Linked DNA regions of Caenorhabditis elegans. The protein of the gene in region 2 interacts with the protein of the main gene of each other region in a pairwise test. Each region holds a gene or a part of one and is shown on either strand. Other genes may lie near its edges.

Region 1 (4,960 bases), on a different chromosome or scaffold from region 2:
TCTTGTATCGAAAACTTTGGTTCCCTTCAAACTTTTAAAGTCATCTTTAATTTTCGCGATGTTTGTTTATAGTCTATCTTCGCACGCGCTATGTTTTCAGTTTTTACTGAAAATATATCGGAACGAGTGAATTCGGAAGACAAGAAAAAACTGGATTTTTTCGGATAGTAACAGAACGGGGAAGTAGTAGTAGTTGGGGGGAAAAACACGAAGATTTTTGGTTGGGCGATCAGTTGAGACAAATGAAATGAAGATATCTTCCAAATTTCAGAAAGAAAATTGTTCCAACAATGACTACTGACGTCATTGATCCGAATGTTTCCTCAATCTTTGCTCCAACAAATCCAGCTGGAAATATTCCGATTCAATGCTCATTGTGCCCGTTCTCCACTCACTCCACAGATCTTCTGTTCATTCATTTGGCAATGCAGCATGCTCAGGAACTTGCACAATGTTCAGGATTACTTGCAGATAATTCTTCAGAAACATCTACATCAAGTAGTAGTGATGGTGAACCAATGATAACTGATATTGATTTAGATGTGAAACCATTAATTGATCAGTCATTAATGCTTCACTTAAATACTCCATTATCTAATTGAATTGATCTTCTTCCAAATCATGACCTATATTTTACTACTTCATTTTTTTGTTAGGGCTTTAGATGCTTGTGATCCCCCAACCTCTGAAATTGGTTCACGTTTTCTTTCTAAATACCCAGTGCCTTTGTATTTTCAAAATTCTTTTTTTACAATAAACCAATTAAAAAAAAATATTTAAATTGAGATGCAATTTTCCACGAGAGATCTTCATATTAATCACAATTGAAATCCCACTTGAATTGATTCGTGAGATACTGTTTGAATTGGGCAGTCTTCTTTTTCAAATCATCACCGGCGTGTGCAGAGTCTCGGACGTTGGCGAACAACATTGAGAGAGTAGTTGTCAAAAAGTTGTCACGAGAAACAATATCGACGAAAAAGTCAGTGGGGCATTCTTTGAGTTGGAAGAAGAGAACCTGTAATTTATGTATTTGAAGTATTTTCTAATTGTGTTCCGTATGTTCTTACTCTGATAAATGACATGAACAACTCTTTCTCAGAGCCTAATGAATTTGGACAACACGACATCAAATGAATAATTCGTTTCCATTGCTCGAATCCTTCAAAAACTTGTCCCTGCAGAAAACAAACAAATGCAATTTGCATTTCAGCCAGCAATTGCTTCCAATCACCACCGAGAGCGCGAAGAAGACGGTAAAGACGATCAGAATATTCAATTCCTACTCGATTCTGGCTAACCTGAAATATTTTTATATTTATTTTTAAATACATTTTTAGAAAAAACAATTTTATTTTTTTATTACAAGACAGAAAACTAAATAGATTTGCCATATTTCAAGCAATTTCCCATGGAATTCGGAACTCTGATAATTTTTTTCTCAAAGAAAAAAAACAACATTAAACTTTAAAAAGCATTATAAAATTTTTTTTTAGAAATAAGTTTTTCGACAAAACTGGAATTATTGTAAATTTCATTAAAAAAATTACTCATACAGGAATTAGTATTTCAAATCAACTTTTTTACTGGTTCCGACATTAAATGAAAATAATTTAAATATTTAGCTATGTAATATCGTGTTCAATGGATACTAAGATGTTTTTAAAAAGAAACCTTTTGAATATAGCATATTTATAGATGTTACCCATGCGCGAAATTTCAGGTTTTTTTTGTTTAGAAAATCCGATACAGTATCCGGTCTCGACACGACAAATTTTTTGGAAAGTGCGATTGAATTACAAGCTGCAGAAATTTCGTCGATTTTGCATAATCTTTCTTACGATTTTCAGTAGATAAAAAATTTCATCGAAAAACTATGACAAATCGATGAAAATTCCGAAGAAACGAGTTCGAAAGTACAGTACTCTTTAAAAGGATTCAACAAAAATTTGTCGTGTTGACCAGGGGTGAGCGGCAATCGGCGATCGGCGATTTTCGTGATTTTTCGGCGATCGCCGATGAAATTTTATAGTCCAAGATAGACCCCTCTGAAGAAGGAAGAAGGTATATTTTCGGACTATTTTTCACTACTTTTCGAATTTTAAGGTATCAAGGAGTGCTTTTCGTTGCCTAATATTCCTGTTTTTATAAAAAATTATTTGAAAGAGCTCTTAAAATTAGGATTTTAAAATTGAAAAAAATTAGACGCACACTGATCGGCAATCGGCGATCGCCGATTTTTTTTTGGCAATTTGTGATCGCCGATCGCCGATTTTTTTTGGGCGGCTGCTCAGCCCTGGTGTTGACCCCGGATAATAATTTTAGGCACAAAAATCGCAACACTGTGTCTGGGTAATATAAAAAAACTAATTTTAAAACTTTTCTCATAACTCGAAAATTTATATTTTTAAAGCAAAAACGAAAAAAAATTTACCGTGAGAGGTGGTATATCTTGGAATCGAATTTCGTATCCCTCTCGAATCTTCATAATCGGTAATCCATGCTGATCTGTGAATCTCGTCCGAACTGGATTCTCTCGATCCACTCGATTTCGAAAATGACTGTCTTTGTGCTCTTTTTCTGCATTTTCCATGAACTCAGTCTCAAGGCTGACGAGCTCTGCTTGTGAAGTGATACGACCAAGTATGGGATGAATTCTTTCGACAGTGTCGGCCGTGATAAAATCAGTAAGACCATACCAGCTTCTATAGTTTTCATATGGATAGGGGGCTAGTGATGAATCCATATTCTTCAGTTGACGCTTCTTTTCAGAGATTTGCTGAAAACATACTACGACATAGAATTTATGAATTTAAATAGTTACATCAGTTGGAACTTCTTCATCTTCAAATGTTTCACTCTCTGTGTTCCATTTCTTTACCAAAATTTCCCCAGCTTTGAAGTTATGAAAGAATCCTGAAAGTAAAATGTTTCACAAAATGTAATATTGTCGCTATCTAACCAATTCTTGGAGCAGATTTAATGCTGCAATAAACAAAATGAACTCCAGGCGGAATCATTTTCAGACCCATGAACTTTTCTCCCGTCTTCCATGATTTGTAGTCAATACCGAACTCTGAAGCCTGCGGAAATCCCAGAAAAAGAAGAAAAGCTCCATTGCGATACATGTAGTCTACAATTTCAGGAGGCAATGCGCCACCCATTCGCATAGCTTGAAGCAAGATCGCAGTGTTGTCGCTCATCTAAAACGTAGTGCATGTTATATCTATAGATCTACCCGCATAATACCTTGACGAATTTTACATGATTGGAAAAACAACAAAGAAAAATATAACATAAGAAATTATTTATTTGCTTTCAACAAATACAGTGGATACCAAATTAGATTGGGTTCTCAATCCACTTGGTGAGTGGTCCATGCTCACGTTGGAGTTGAACTCCAACTCCGTCGGAGCGGAGTCTTCCTTCAGCACGCATGCGCTCGTAGTCTTCGCGATCCCACTTGGTGAATCCCCACTTGCGGGAAGAGACGATGATTTGACGTCCTGGGAACTTGAACTTGGCACGACGGAAGGCTTCAATAGCGTGCTTGACGTTCTGAACACAATTATTAGCACCTGATATTTCTAGTGGAGGAACTTACTCCTTCCTTGATTCTCATGGAGAAAAGAATATCTCCAATGTCGACACGAGCGACCAATCCTTGTGGCTTTCCGTAAGCTCCACGCATTCCAGTTTGGAGACGATCAGCTCCGGCACAGGAAAGCATTTTGTTGATACGGGTGACGTGGAATGGATGCTTGCGAACACGGAGATGGAATCCGTCCTACAAAATACAGGTTGGATGAAAAATTGAACTAAATCCTTGTCTTACCTTTCCGCAGTTCTTGACCATGTACTTGTTGGCGCAAATACGGGCGGCTTCGAGAGCTTCAGAGGAAAGATGCTCACGCTCGTTGGACATCATGTGCACACATGCTGGGAAGGTGTCAACGTTAGCCCTCTTGTTTCCCAAATCGAAGATTCTGATCTTCGCGTCCGGAACTCCTCTGCAGAAGCGGGACTTTGGGTATGGCTTGTTCTTGATATAGCGGTAGCACCGCGCTGGACGTCTACCCATGTTCTGAAAATTGAGAAGACTACAATAAATTACGACAAACGGAGAATATATATATATAGAAGAGAATCAAAGAACATGTTTTGTCACCATCACGCCAAGAATTGTCATCATTATTTCGAAATACTGTCAAAGCATTATTGATTCGAGAACTAAAAACAGTGGATAATAGGAAAACAATATCAAACATGACTTCGAATTTCGAAATGATTCAAACAAATTTCGTTTGCAATATTTAAGACAATGAGAGCTATAGTTTTAAATAACTGACGTTTGAATCATGATAAATCAGAAAAAAATGTATAAAATAAAACAAAAAGGCAAAAAATCCACTGCTTCAAGAGAAAATCGAGAGAAAAATTTTAGGCCAAAGAGAAATTGAGGACAACACTAATGTTCACTGCCGTCGGTGAACTACATACAAAGCATAACAATTGACGACATTTGTGCACCGTACTCATTTCGAAATTTCGGACAAACAAAAAAGATTTTTCATTAAAATCCTATTTCGCGAAGGCATTTTTTGCAATTAATTCATTACTCAAGGCTAAAATTGAGTATTTTTAGAACTTTATAGCTATATTTCACAATGCCCGACAAAATTCCTGAAATCAAGGTGAGTTCTGAAGGACTTTTCTGAAAAAAAATACAATTTTAGATTGTTCCACTGGGTGCGGGACAAGATGTTGGACGGTCGTGTATTCTTATTACTATCGGTGGAAAGAATATTATGGTAGATTGTGGAATGCATATGGGATACCAAGATGATCGAAGATTTCCTGACTTTTCGTAAGTTCTGCAAGCTTATTCAATTCAAATCTAAAATAATAACTTTTTCAGGTATATTGGTGGAGGTGGAAGACTAACTGATTACCTAGATTG
Region 2 (4,624 bases):
GAAATTCGGTTTTTTTTTAACTTTGAAATTTTCCTAATGAAATTCGCCCGTTTTGGGGTGATTTCGGGTCTAATTGAGCCCAAATAGTCAACGTACATCGGCCACTGAGCCAATCTTAGTGAAGTCCGAGACGGAAAATAGTCGAAGCAGTTCCAATGATGTCGAAGAACGGAAACAAGGCTAACACATGAATCAACCGTACTTTCTTTCGGTGCTTCATTCAATTCAATTGAAAATGGAGCATATCCGAGCAGTACTCTCACACATCTTTGAACAGCGACTGCAGAGATTTGATGATTGTAACCTCCTTCCAATACGACCAACATTCTTCCCTGTGCAAGTGATTTCAGATGATATAAAATATGTGAATAACCATCAGGTGTAAGACACATTCCACCTAAAGGATCACCGAGAAGTGCGTCGAATCCAGCAGAGATTATCACAAAATGTGGATCAAACTGAGTTGCAAGAGGAAGTAGAACATGGAAAATAATCGATAGATAATCAGAATCAGTGCATCCAGTTTCATTTAAAGCCAGATTTGCGTTGTATCCCAATCCCTTTCCTGATCCAATATGATCAAAATCTGATTCGGGAAGATGAGGCCAAAAGAGACCATGTTCGTGGCGATGAATTGAGAAATATAGTACTCTGAAATTCATTGAAGAAAATTATTATTTCACTATAAAATCCTTTTTAACCTTTTATCATCATAAAAAATCCGCTGAGTTCCGTGTCCGTGGTGTACATCCAAATCGACAATCAAAATCCGTTCGGCTCCACTGAAAAATGCTTCTTCGGCGGCTTGGGCGACATTATTGAATAAGCAGAAACCACAAGGCGATACAGAATCTGCATGATGTCCGGGTGGCCTGACGACTGCAAAACCATTCGAAGCTTCATTAGCCATGATTCTATTCGTCAAATCTCGAACACACGCGACACCATCTTTGGCAACTTTCATCGAGTTCTGAAACTTTATTCTCAACGTTTTGTGCTTCTTTTTACCCAATTAATACCTCTGTCATAAACACGGAATCATATTTTTCGCACTGTGAATTAATATCTTCTTGTGTTTTCTTTTCAGATTCCATTAAATCTTTAACCATGCTTTTATCGTGGGTTACTTCCAAGTCAGCATCGTCGATCTCCAGAAAATTTGTTAGTACAGTGCATTTTTCGAGTATTTTCGTCTTTGTTAATGCCTCTTTAATCTTCAAAATTCGATCCGAAGACTCCGGATGTGTTGGGCATACTGTATTCTCATGTTCATTTTGAGTTTGATTGAATCCGATGAGTGTTGGACCCTGTAAATAGATTATATGATTGTACGAACATATACTTTTCTTACCGTTGATCGATTTTTCTGCCTATCTTCGAAAAGCATGGAAAACTAAACGATAAATGTTTGAATAACCGCTAAAAGTCTAAAAAATCCTGTGGAAAAAATGTCCTCGTGATGGCCGTGGACTAGAATATTCAACTCAAGGCTACGGCCATCTGTGCACTTTACCGTCAAGTCGCGTGTGTTCTGACCTGTTTTGCATTTTGTTTATGTTTTTTTGTTTTTGTGTTATGCATCAATAAGAGTAATTGGACAAAAACATGAAATATCAAGTTTTCTTTGATTTTTCCAACCGCCTTGTGTAGATTTATAGTTCGTTTTTTAAACGTTTGCTCCTAAACACCCAATTTATGTATTTTACGTTGCAAACTTTTTGCAGAATGGCGACAGAGTCGGGTGGCTTGTCGAAGGAGGAATTCCTTCTTGTTCAAGAGCAACTTTTGCAGCTGAAAAATGAAAATTACGAGTTACGAGAGGAGATTAAAAAGAAGAACGCAGCAGCTTCCCAACACCAAAACTCTCCGAAAAATGAAGCATTGCAATTTGCTAGCAAGGTGAGGAAAAGTTTATTTTTATTATAATTAATTTAAATCTTTCAGTTAATCAACAGAGCATCTTCTTCGAAAAAAGATGAAGCAGAAATTGAGTCGCTTCGGCGGAAACTAGAGACCCAAGAGCAAGAGTTTCGCCTTCAACAATCTACCCTTTTTGAAGAGCTCAAGACAGTAAACTTTACATTTAAAATTCAAGCTTTTCAATGTCCAAATTACAGATATCCACACAAAATGAGACATTAAAGAATCAAATGTCGTCTTATTCTGATCATCCTCTGGAAAAAGAAGCAGAAGAAAGGCAAACAGTGGAACAATTAAAAGAAGCTATTAAAAATTTAACAGACGAAAAAGTTTTGCTATGTCAAGGTAATTTTATTCCAACTTTGTTCAATACAATTAATTGTATAAAAGGTTACAGAAACAATTCCTGCTATAAGCAACAAAGTTACAAGTCTCAGTGAAGAACTTGAAAACTGTCAGACATTGAACGTCGAGCTTGAAGATCGTTTACTCTCAATAACTTCAGAATCCGAAGCTATTCTTAAAATTAAGGAGAAGGTTGTCGAGGAAAATTTGCGAATTAGGAAAGAAATTGAAGAATTACGCAGAGAAAATGAAGGGATTGCTGAAAAAATGAAGGAGAGTAACAATGCAGTGATGGATGAAAATAAAAAGCTTTCTGATGATAATCTGGAATATAGAAAGACAATGTTGAGTCAGAAATCTGAAATTGACAGTTTAAAAGCTGAGAATTTTAAACTCGTCTCTGAAAATCAACTAAATCATGACGTTTCTAAAAACCTTGCTGCTCTACAATCAGAAAAACTAAAGCTGACTGAAATATCTCAACAAGAAATATCAGGTTTGAAAAAAAAGATCGAAGTTTTAAAATCGGAAAATCATCGTCTTTCGTCTCAAATCCAACAGAACACTAATGAAGCTGCAAAGAACCACGAAAAACTTTTAGAAGACCGAGTACTTCTTCTCGAAACTCGTTATCAATTGGAAGTTGATGATCTTAAAAAGAGTTTTGAGTCGGATAAAGAATGTTTCCTTTTGAAAATGACGAGTTTAGAGGAGAAGCTGAAATCAGCGGAAGAAGACAAGAAGCTCGCAGTGAAAAAAGCAATGTCTCTTGTGAAAGAGCTACAAAAATCATTAAAAGAAGAGAGAAAACGAGCTGATTCTTATGAGAGAAAAAGCGAAGAAAGAGCTGGATGGCATGTGGTTCCACCAGAAAATGATAGGCAAAGTAGTCATGTAAGCACATTTAATCAAGGACTAACATATATTCATCAAATTTTTCAGACTTTCGACGGAAACGAAAGTGTTTCATCAATGTCGGCAATCGAATCGGAGAACGTTGAACTTATCACTCGTCTAGCCACGTTACAAAAGATTCATTCGGAAAATGCAGATTCCGTAGGATCTTCTTTGCAGAATTCTTTGAAATATTGGAATAATCATCTTTCAGATTCTCCAACTCGAATCAGAAAATAGTCGCTTGCGACGGGAAGTGACGGAAAAAGGAGAATTAATTGAGAATTTGATCCGCGAAAAACCTCTTGGCACCGGATTTCAACAACAGAATAATCTGGGTTCTTCTTCTTCTTCTTCTGTTCAACCGAAACTTGAAGGTTTAGCTTCTAAAATTTTCATTTTTTTAAATACTGAAAATTATTCCAGCGTCATTCCGAAAACTGCTCAATACACTTGGCCAAGATTCCCGAGATTCAGATGTCCGTGAAATGAACAAAAAGCTGCAAAGAATGCTTGAAGAGACACTTTCTAAAAATATAATTCTTCAGAGAGACTTGCAAACTATTATGGAGAGAACTGGCTTGTAGATTTATATCTTTTTTTAAAATTTCTATTGAATCCGTGTGTGCATATGTAGATATTGTTACTGAAACCATTGCATTTTTTTTTCTGTATTTTTTGCTGAAATTTCAATTGATCTAATTTTCCAATTAAGCATTTTGTATATTCTTTGTGCATAATAATTTTTTAATTTTCAGTTTCCCATATTATTTTTTTATTTTCTCTCTGTCTGGTTCTCATTTTTTGAATCCACAGCAATACTTAATTCTTGAAAAAACATGAAATTTTCAGAAAAATCTCGCCAATTTTCAGAATGGAAGTAGAAGTACCTGGTGGATCAGAAGCTGCCGATACTGGAAGTGAAGCGAGTTATAAAGTGTCACAAGTAGAGATTGAAGATGTTGAAGAGAATTTGAAAAATGCTGATGTGATATTTGAACATCTTGAGCAACTTCCATTTCAGGTGTTTATTCTGAGCGAATTTGGAAAACCGATTTTTGTAAAGTGAGAATTTGCAAATATTATCCATTCAAACACACAAAGCCTTCTTTAAAAATTACAGCAACGATCGAAATGAGGGTGAAATCGTCAGTTTGGTGGCTCTAATTTGTGCATTTGTGAGCCGATGCCAATCTTGGGGTGATAGTTTGATGACGATGACGTCACAGGATAATCACATTCAATTTTTACACAAATCACCGCTTATTTTCTGCGTTGGTAAGAATTTTATGCAATGGAAACGCGCTCCGCCCCCGAAGCATGGGTCTCGTTAGGAATTTACCGGCTAAATCAAGAATTCAAATGTTTTCAGTTCGTTTCGCCGATTTGGCAAATTGCCAAGATTTTTTCGTCTTTTATGCTTTCTGTTACTGTTGGAACGTAAATTTTTCGAAGAGCATAACGT
Region 3 (4,958 bases), on a different chromosome or scaffold from region 2:
AAAAAAGATTTAGTAGAAAAAGAGAGTTGTAGATAGACAAAAATTAGATTATTTGATTTGTTACGAGGATGTGCAGAAAGAGACAATTGTTCCAAAGGGAAAAATATTCGAATTTTTGTTGGCCTCGATATCTAAAGTTCACAGTTCTAATGGTCTAATGCTTATTGTTTAAAAGTGGTGTAGCGCCAGTGGAAATTTTGCCAAAACATGTAGAAAGGTCTAAAAGAAAAAAGGTCTATCGAAATAAAACAACAGCCAAAAATGTTCAGGTTTTTTCAAAAATTTGTGTCAAAGTTTTGGCATATTCCAAATATTCGAAAACAGTTGTTATTTTTGGGAAAGTTGGAGGTTTCTTGCACATTCTATGCGCATACTATGTGACTCCATAAATTGAGTTTTTCACATTTGGCTTTAGGAACTTTGATCATAGATTTCAGTGAAAAACTTTTTTTTTTCAAGAATTAATTCTCAAAATTCCGAAACCGAACGACATACCGTTTTAATATTTTTATTCTGTGATCGTCGTGTTATCTCTTTTTCCATTTCACTCATTTGTTTTCGAATGAGTGAATCCGTTCGATCACCGGATAATTTCCGCTTTTCTTCACTTTTCTCCTCTCCTCCCGCTGATTCTTGCGAATTTTCAGGAGAATCTGATTTTTCGATGACGTCACCAATTGTCACATCGGATGACGTGGAAGTTGGTACAAGAAGCTCATCTGAAACATATTTAGGTTTGAAAATTGACAATTAGAAAAATGTTCAGGGGAAATCCCTTCAACTTTTCGTGTGGTCTCTAAGTTCCGTCCAGACATGATGGTGGGAGACGTACAACTCCTTTCGGACATGGAACAATTAGTAAATCGGCTGAGCAAAAAGAGAGAGTGTGAGATGATAAGAGACGCAGAGATATCTCTCTTGTCTCTTCTTCTCACCAAAATGTTCTCGTGTTACATGCTCACTTGTGACAAATGAGATACATGCTGGATCTTTTTTGAAGATTTTCTGAAGAACTTTTGGAAAATGCAATTTATTCGAAATTTTTAAAGTTGGAGTTTTACATTCCACTAGACGAAGAAGGAAACTTAATACGTTCTGTGAAAACTGTACGCCAAACGTTTGAGATAATGACTGATCTTCTGGCATTTGGCCTGAATTTCTAAAAGTGAAAAACCAACTAACCATTATTTTGAACAACGCCGCTTGTTTCCGTAGAATCTTCTGCTGGTCTCACCTAAAAATTAAAGACTGAGTTTGATTTCTAAACTAGAAGTATATTTTAATGAACATTTTTTAAAATTTTATCTTTTAAATTCCCGAACCACATTTATTTATTTTAGAGCTACAGGAAGAACATGAAGAAGCTCCCCAAGTCATCACTTCGCCTAATTTCCAGCGTTTTGCTTGTGAGTTCAAGTGTTTGGGCTCTGCCGTAAACGAACCTCTCGATGATTTGGTGACACATTAGAGGACACAACACTGCCAGCTGTCTGCCTTCCGTTATCGTCTTCTGAGCGATGAGATGATGATGCCTGAGAATACTTGAAGGTTATGAAGTGCAGATGAGAATTTTGGGAGCCATAAATGCATTGCTTTTGGTAATATATTTCTAGATCTATTTCAATGTCTAGAAATATCAAATACTGTTCTGCATCAATGCAGAAGCATAACTTTGTAATAAGAATTTGTGAACTTCTTGTGAGCTTGACTAGGTTACATCAAAATTAGAATTTCTAGCCGGCAGAGAGTGACGGAGGCGCCTCTCACACGCCTCGAGCGGGTGTCAGCCATGCATCATCAAACATCCAATAAGCATGTAATGTCTTAGGTTATTATATTGTGGCAAATTCGCCAAATCAGAAAATTATATGGTTTTTCCAGTTCACATGTTTTTATTGTGAATAAAACAATTTCGAGAGCTCTAAAAATAGTTCTTTCTGCAAAAATAAATTTCGCAACTTTTCTAGTTGTACAACAATGTTCCAAAATTGCGAAACATACATTTTCTGATGACTAATGTCATTTCCTTCATTTTTTTAAAGCTTATCAACCCCAGTTTTAAAAACTGCTTCTAATGAAAAATTGACAGTGTTTCAATTGTTTTTGTAAAATAACGCTTTATAAAACAAACCTGAGAAGAAGGTCTTGGCTGTTGAAGAGCCGGCTGAAATTGCATGGGAAACGGAATCGGAAACTGTGCTCCACTCGCGGCCATCATTTGTTGAAAATAATGATGCATGACTTCCTGATATTGAGCTGGAGAGAATACCATCTGAGGTTGAGCTTCACCCTCCTGAGCAGGAGCACCCGCTGTTGGAATATACGGATTCAAGAAGGGATTTGCGAAAAAATGACCAGGAGGGATCATTTCTGTAAAAAATCGAATATATTGAAGAACAAGCTTTTCCTATTTTAATTGTGTTAAGTAAGCAAATATAAATAACCAATGTCATACATTTTCATTCTGTGCACAGAAGTTTCCTAGTGCAATATATTTAAAATATTTTCTTATACTTCCGTGTAAAATAGATTTTTGTAGGGAAGGCAACATGAAAGACGTCCAGCCATATGAATAATAGCCTATTTTTGTGGTCAGGCGGCGGCGGGGAAAAATAAGAAGAAGAGGAGAAGACAGGGAATTTTTAATCGAGAAGGTTCGAAAAACAATAATATCCCCTCTATTTTTTCTTATTCTTCGAGTGAAAATATTTGAGGAAAGGTTGACCAAAACGAAGGAGCAATTCCTTACGAAAAGTTAATATAGTCTTACTAGGGCTGGCAAATCAGACTGAACCTATCTGGATTTCAGAGCCTTTTTTCTGTGTTATTGTGTTTTTTTCATATTTTTTTTAACTGATTTGATTTTGTCTTGCTTTTTCAAATATCTAAACATCAGATTTTTGAAGATCCGGGAATATTTAAACACACCATCTAAATTTGAAAAATGACACTCAAAAAACTTGAAGTCTGGTATATTTGTTTACACTTTAATTCAAAATCTCTTGTAAAACTAACGAAATGGGACTTGTTGTTGCTCTCCTCCCCCACCACCACCGGCTCCACCCCCTTTGCTCGGCGGAGGAGTAGGCGTGGCCGATGATGTGGGGACCCCGTGTTCAGGAGACGTCGTGGCGGCTGTGGCTTGTGCTACTGCTTCAGATGACATCCTGCAACAGAATTGTTCATGGTCCGATGGAAAATAGATAGGAAGATGAGGGAAAGAGAGAGGAAGCGGGAAAAGGACATGGATTATTGGATGCTCTTCTCTCGTCTCACACGCGAATTAATTAGAGCGATGAAGAAGAGGGACAAGAGAGAAGCAGACAGAGAGAGAGTTAACGTGGGAAAATTTAGAATTAACAATTGTCACCTCGAAGTTATAAGTTAAATTTTTTCCTAAAATGAGAAAATGGGAGATGCTCAAAAAGTTTTAAGATCGTGTTCGGAAGTACTGTAACACAACATGGAGTTCGAATCTACACAGACTTACAATTATGTAGTAAAAAATCTACATATCTACATATCTACATATCTAAAAATCTACATATTTTCACTCGGGAATCGCTCGCCCACTATGGGGGAGTCTACGCAAGGACAACGCAAGGACAAGGACAACATTCTAATGGAATGGAAACAATTGCCCGACTGCACCAATTCTAGTACAAGCGAACAATGATAACTTTTGTATTCTGTATTCCTTCACGTCTCCCAGCGAGCGTAATAAATTATTATTATTATTATATCTAAATAAAATACTTTCAAATGAAAATGTTGGTAAATTGCCAATTAAAAAAATTGGAGTTTTTCATTAATTTAGAGCAATGCTGCAAATGCGAAGACCTAGGTTCTAGGTTCACTTGTAAATAATTGAAGCGAACTTAAAATTAAACAATGTATTGGACCAATTATGATAGGTGGAAACTGATTAATTGCTATTAATGTAAATATAACATTTTCAAAAAATGTTGGAAAGTGTTAGAATGATATTTTCATCATGGGTGCACTATAGGTGTAGTTTTTAACATTTTTCCCACTGGAGCATAAGAAAAAAGAACAACAAGCGGAGACTGATCGTGAAACAAAATATACATTGAGGAAACCAAAAAATGCAGTGTAAGGAGTTCCCGAAGCAATATGTCGTGCCATGTATGCACGTCTTCTGAATGCCAATTCATTTGTCATGTTTCTTCGACACTCTAATCCCTACTTTCTCAGCCAAATATATGACACGTGTCGTTTTCTTTTTTTGCTGTTTCTTTTATGCCGTGCTTGCTAATCTCCAAAATATCGAGTGCTTTTTGGACTTTTGAGGGCGTTTGAAAAATATGTTTAACCAAACAATTGTATTAATGTAAGCCGCTAACTAAATGACTTTCAATTGACAATTTTCCAATTGTCGCTTTAGATGTTGAAAACGAATTTTTTCCAGATGTTGAAAATAAAGATAACTTCTTGTATTTTAGGACAAGTTCTAAAAATGTGAAAATATAACTGCATTGTGATAGAATTCCGCAAAGTATTTCTAATTTTTGACCTAAGCCATGGGAATCGTGAATGATCAACTAAATTCTTGGAAATAAATGAAAACATTAGAACAGTAAAAAGTTGAAGCTTTAAAACCTATTCGAGACGTTTCTCATTCGAGCAGCGCGGGGTTGAGAAAAATAGGGAAGAGGCGAGAGAAAAAGTGTCATAATTATGCTAATTCTGCTCTTTTCCATCGTTTTCCTTCACTCTCTCTTTCCATCCAACTCTTTTCCAGGGCACAGACAAAAAAGTATCAAAAACGGAAAGAATACACCAGATGACGGGATGAATGGGAATTTGTGATGGACGAATGGACAATACAAAACTGGTAGATGAACGAGAGAGTATATAAAGATGGAAAAAAGTGTGAATAATTTCACGTTTACTGTTATTGCGGAATAGATGGCAAAAAAGTAAACTTTTCAATTTTG

Evidence for each region.
Region 1: the proteins of F41H10.4 (region 2) and F10B5.2 interact in a two-hybrid assay, tested with the Caenorhabditis elegans proteins (one large-scale study listed by BioGRID).
Region 3: the proteins of F41H10.4 (region 2) and lin-10 interact in a two-hybrid assay, tested with the Caenorhabditis elegans proteins (one large-scale study listed by BioGRID).

What each region holds. Positions count from the first base shown.
Region 1 is NC_003280.10:8,143,005-8,147,964, reverse strand, and holds F10B5.2 (Protein AAR2 homolog), read right to left. Parts: upstream 3,204-4,960; 5' UTR 3,165-3,203; coding exon 2,963-3,164; intron 2,917-2,962; coding exon 2,825-2,916; intron 2,780-2,824; coding exon 2,435-2,779; intron 1,302-2,434; coding exon 1,071-1,301; intron 1,019-1,070; coding exon 815-1,018; 3' UTR 729-814; downstream 1-728. Other genes in the region: btbz-2 (BTB domain-containing protein), read left to right, coding at 272-602; rpl-10L (Large ribosomal subunit protein uL16), read right to left, coding at 3,343-3,558, 3,605-3,787, 3,836-4,081; ints-11 (Integrator complex subunit 11), read left to right, coding at 4,668-4,694, 4,737-4,867, 4,919-4,960.
Region 2 is NC_003282.8:5,362,835-5,367,458, forward strand, and holds F41H10.4 (GRIP domain-containing protein), read left to right. Parts: upstream 1-1,724; 5' UTR 1,725-1,725; coding exon 1,726-1,899; intron 1,900-1,944; coding exon 1,945-2,070; intron 2,071-2,117; coding exon 2,118-2,265; intron 2,266-2,317; coding exon 2,318-3,159; intron 3,160-3,207; coding exon 3,208-3,321; intron 3,322-3,373; coding exon 3,374-3,536; intron 3,537-3,585; coding exon 3,586-3,746; 3' UTR 3,747-3,917; downstream 3,918-4,624. Other genes in the region: hda-6 (histone deacetylase), read right to left, coding at 97-651, 702-976, 1,020-1,307, 1,352-1,387; sand-1 (Vacuolar fusion protein MON1 homolog), read left to right, coding at 4,034-4,224, 4,283-4,437.
Region 3 is NC_003279.8:8,116,148-8,121,105, forward strand, and holds the start of lin-10 (Protein lin-10), read right to left. Parts: upstream 3,168-4,958; 5' UTR 3,167-3,167; coding exon 3,016-3,166; intron 2,371-3,015; coding exon 2,132-2,370; intron 1,533-2,131; coding exon 1,443-1,532; intron 1,235-1,442; coding exon 1,183-1,234; intron 720-1,182; coding exon 496-719; intron 1-495. UniProt on the Caenorhabditis elegans protein: Required specifically for the determination of 3 vulval precursor cell fates P5.p, P6.p and P7.p during late second and early third larval stages; required for basolateral localization of receptor tyrosine kinase let-23.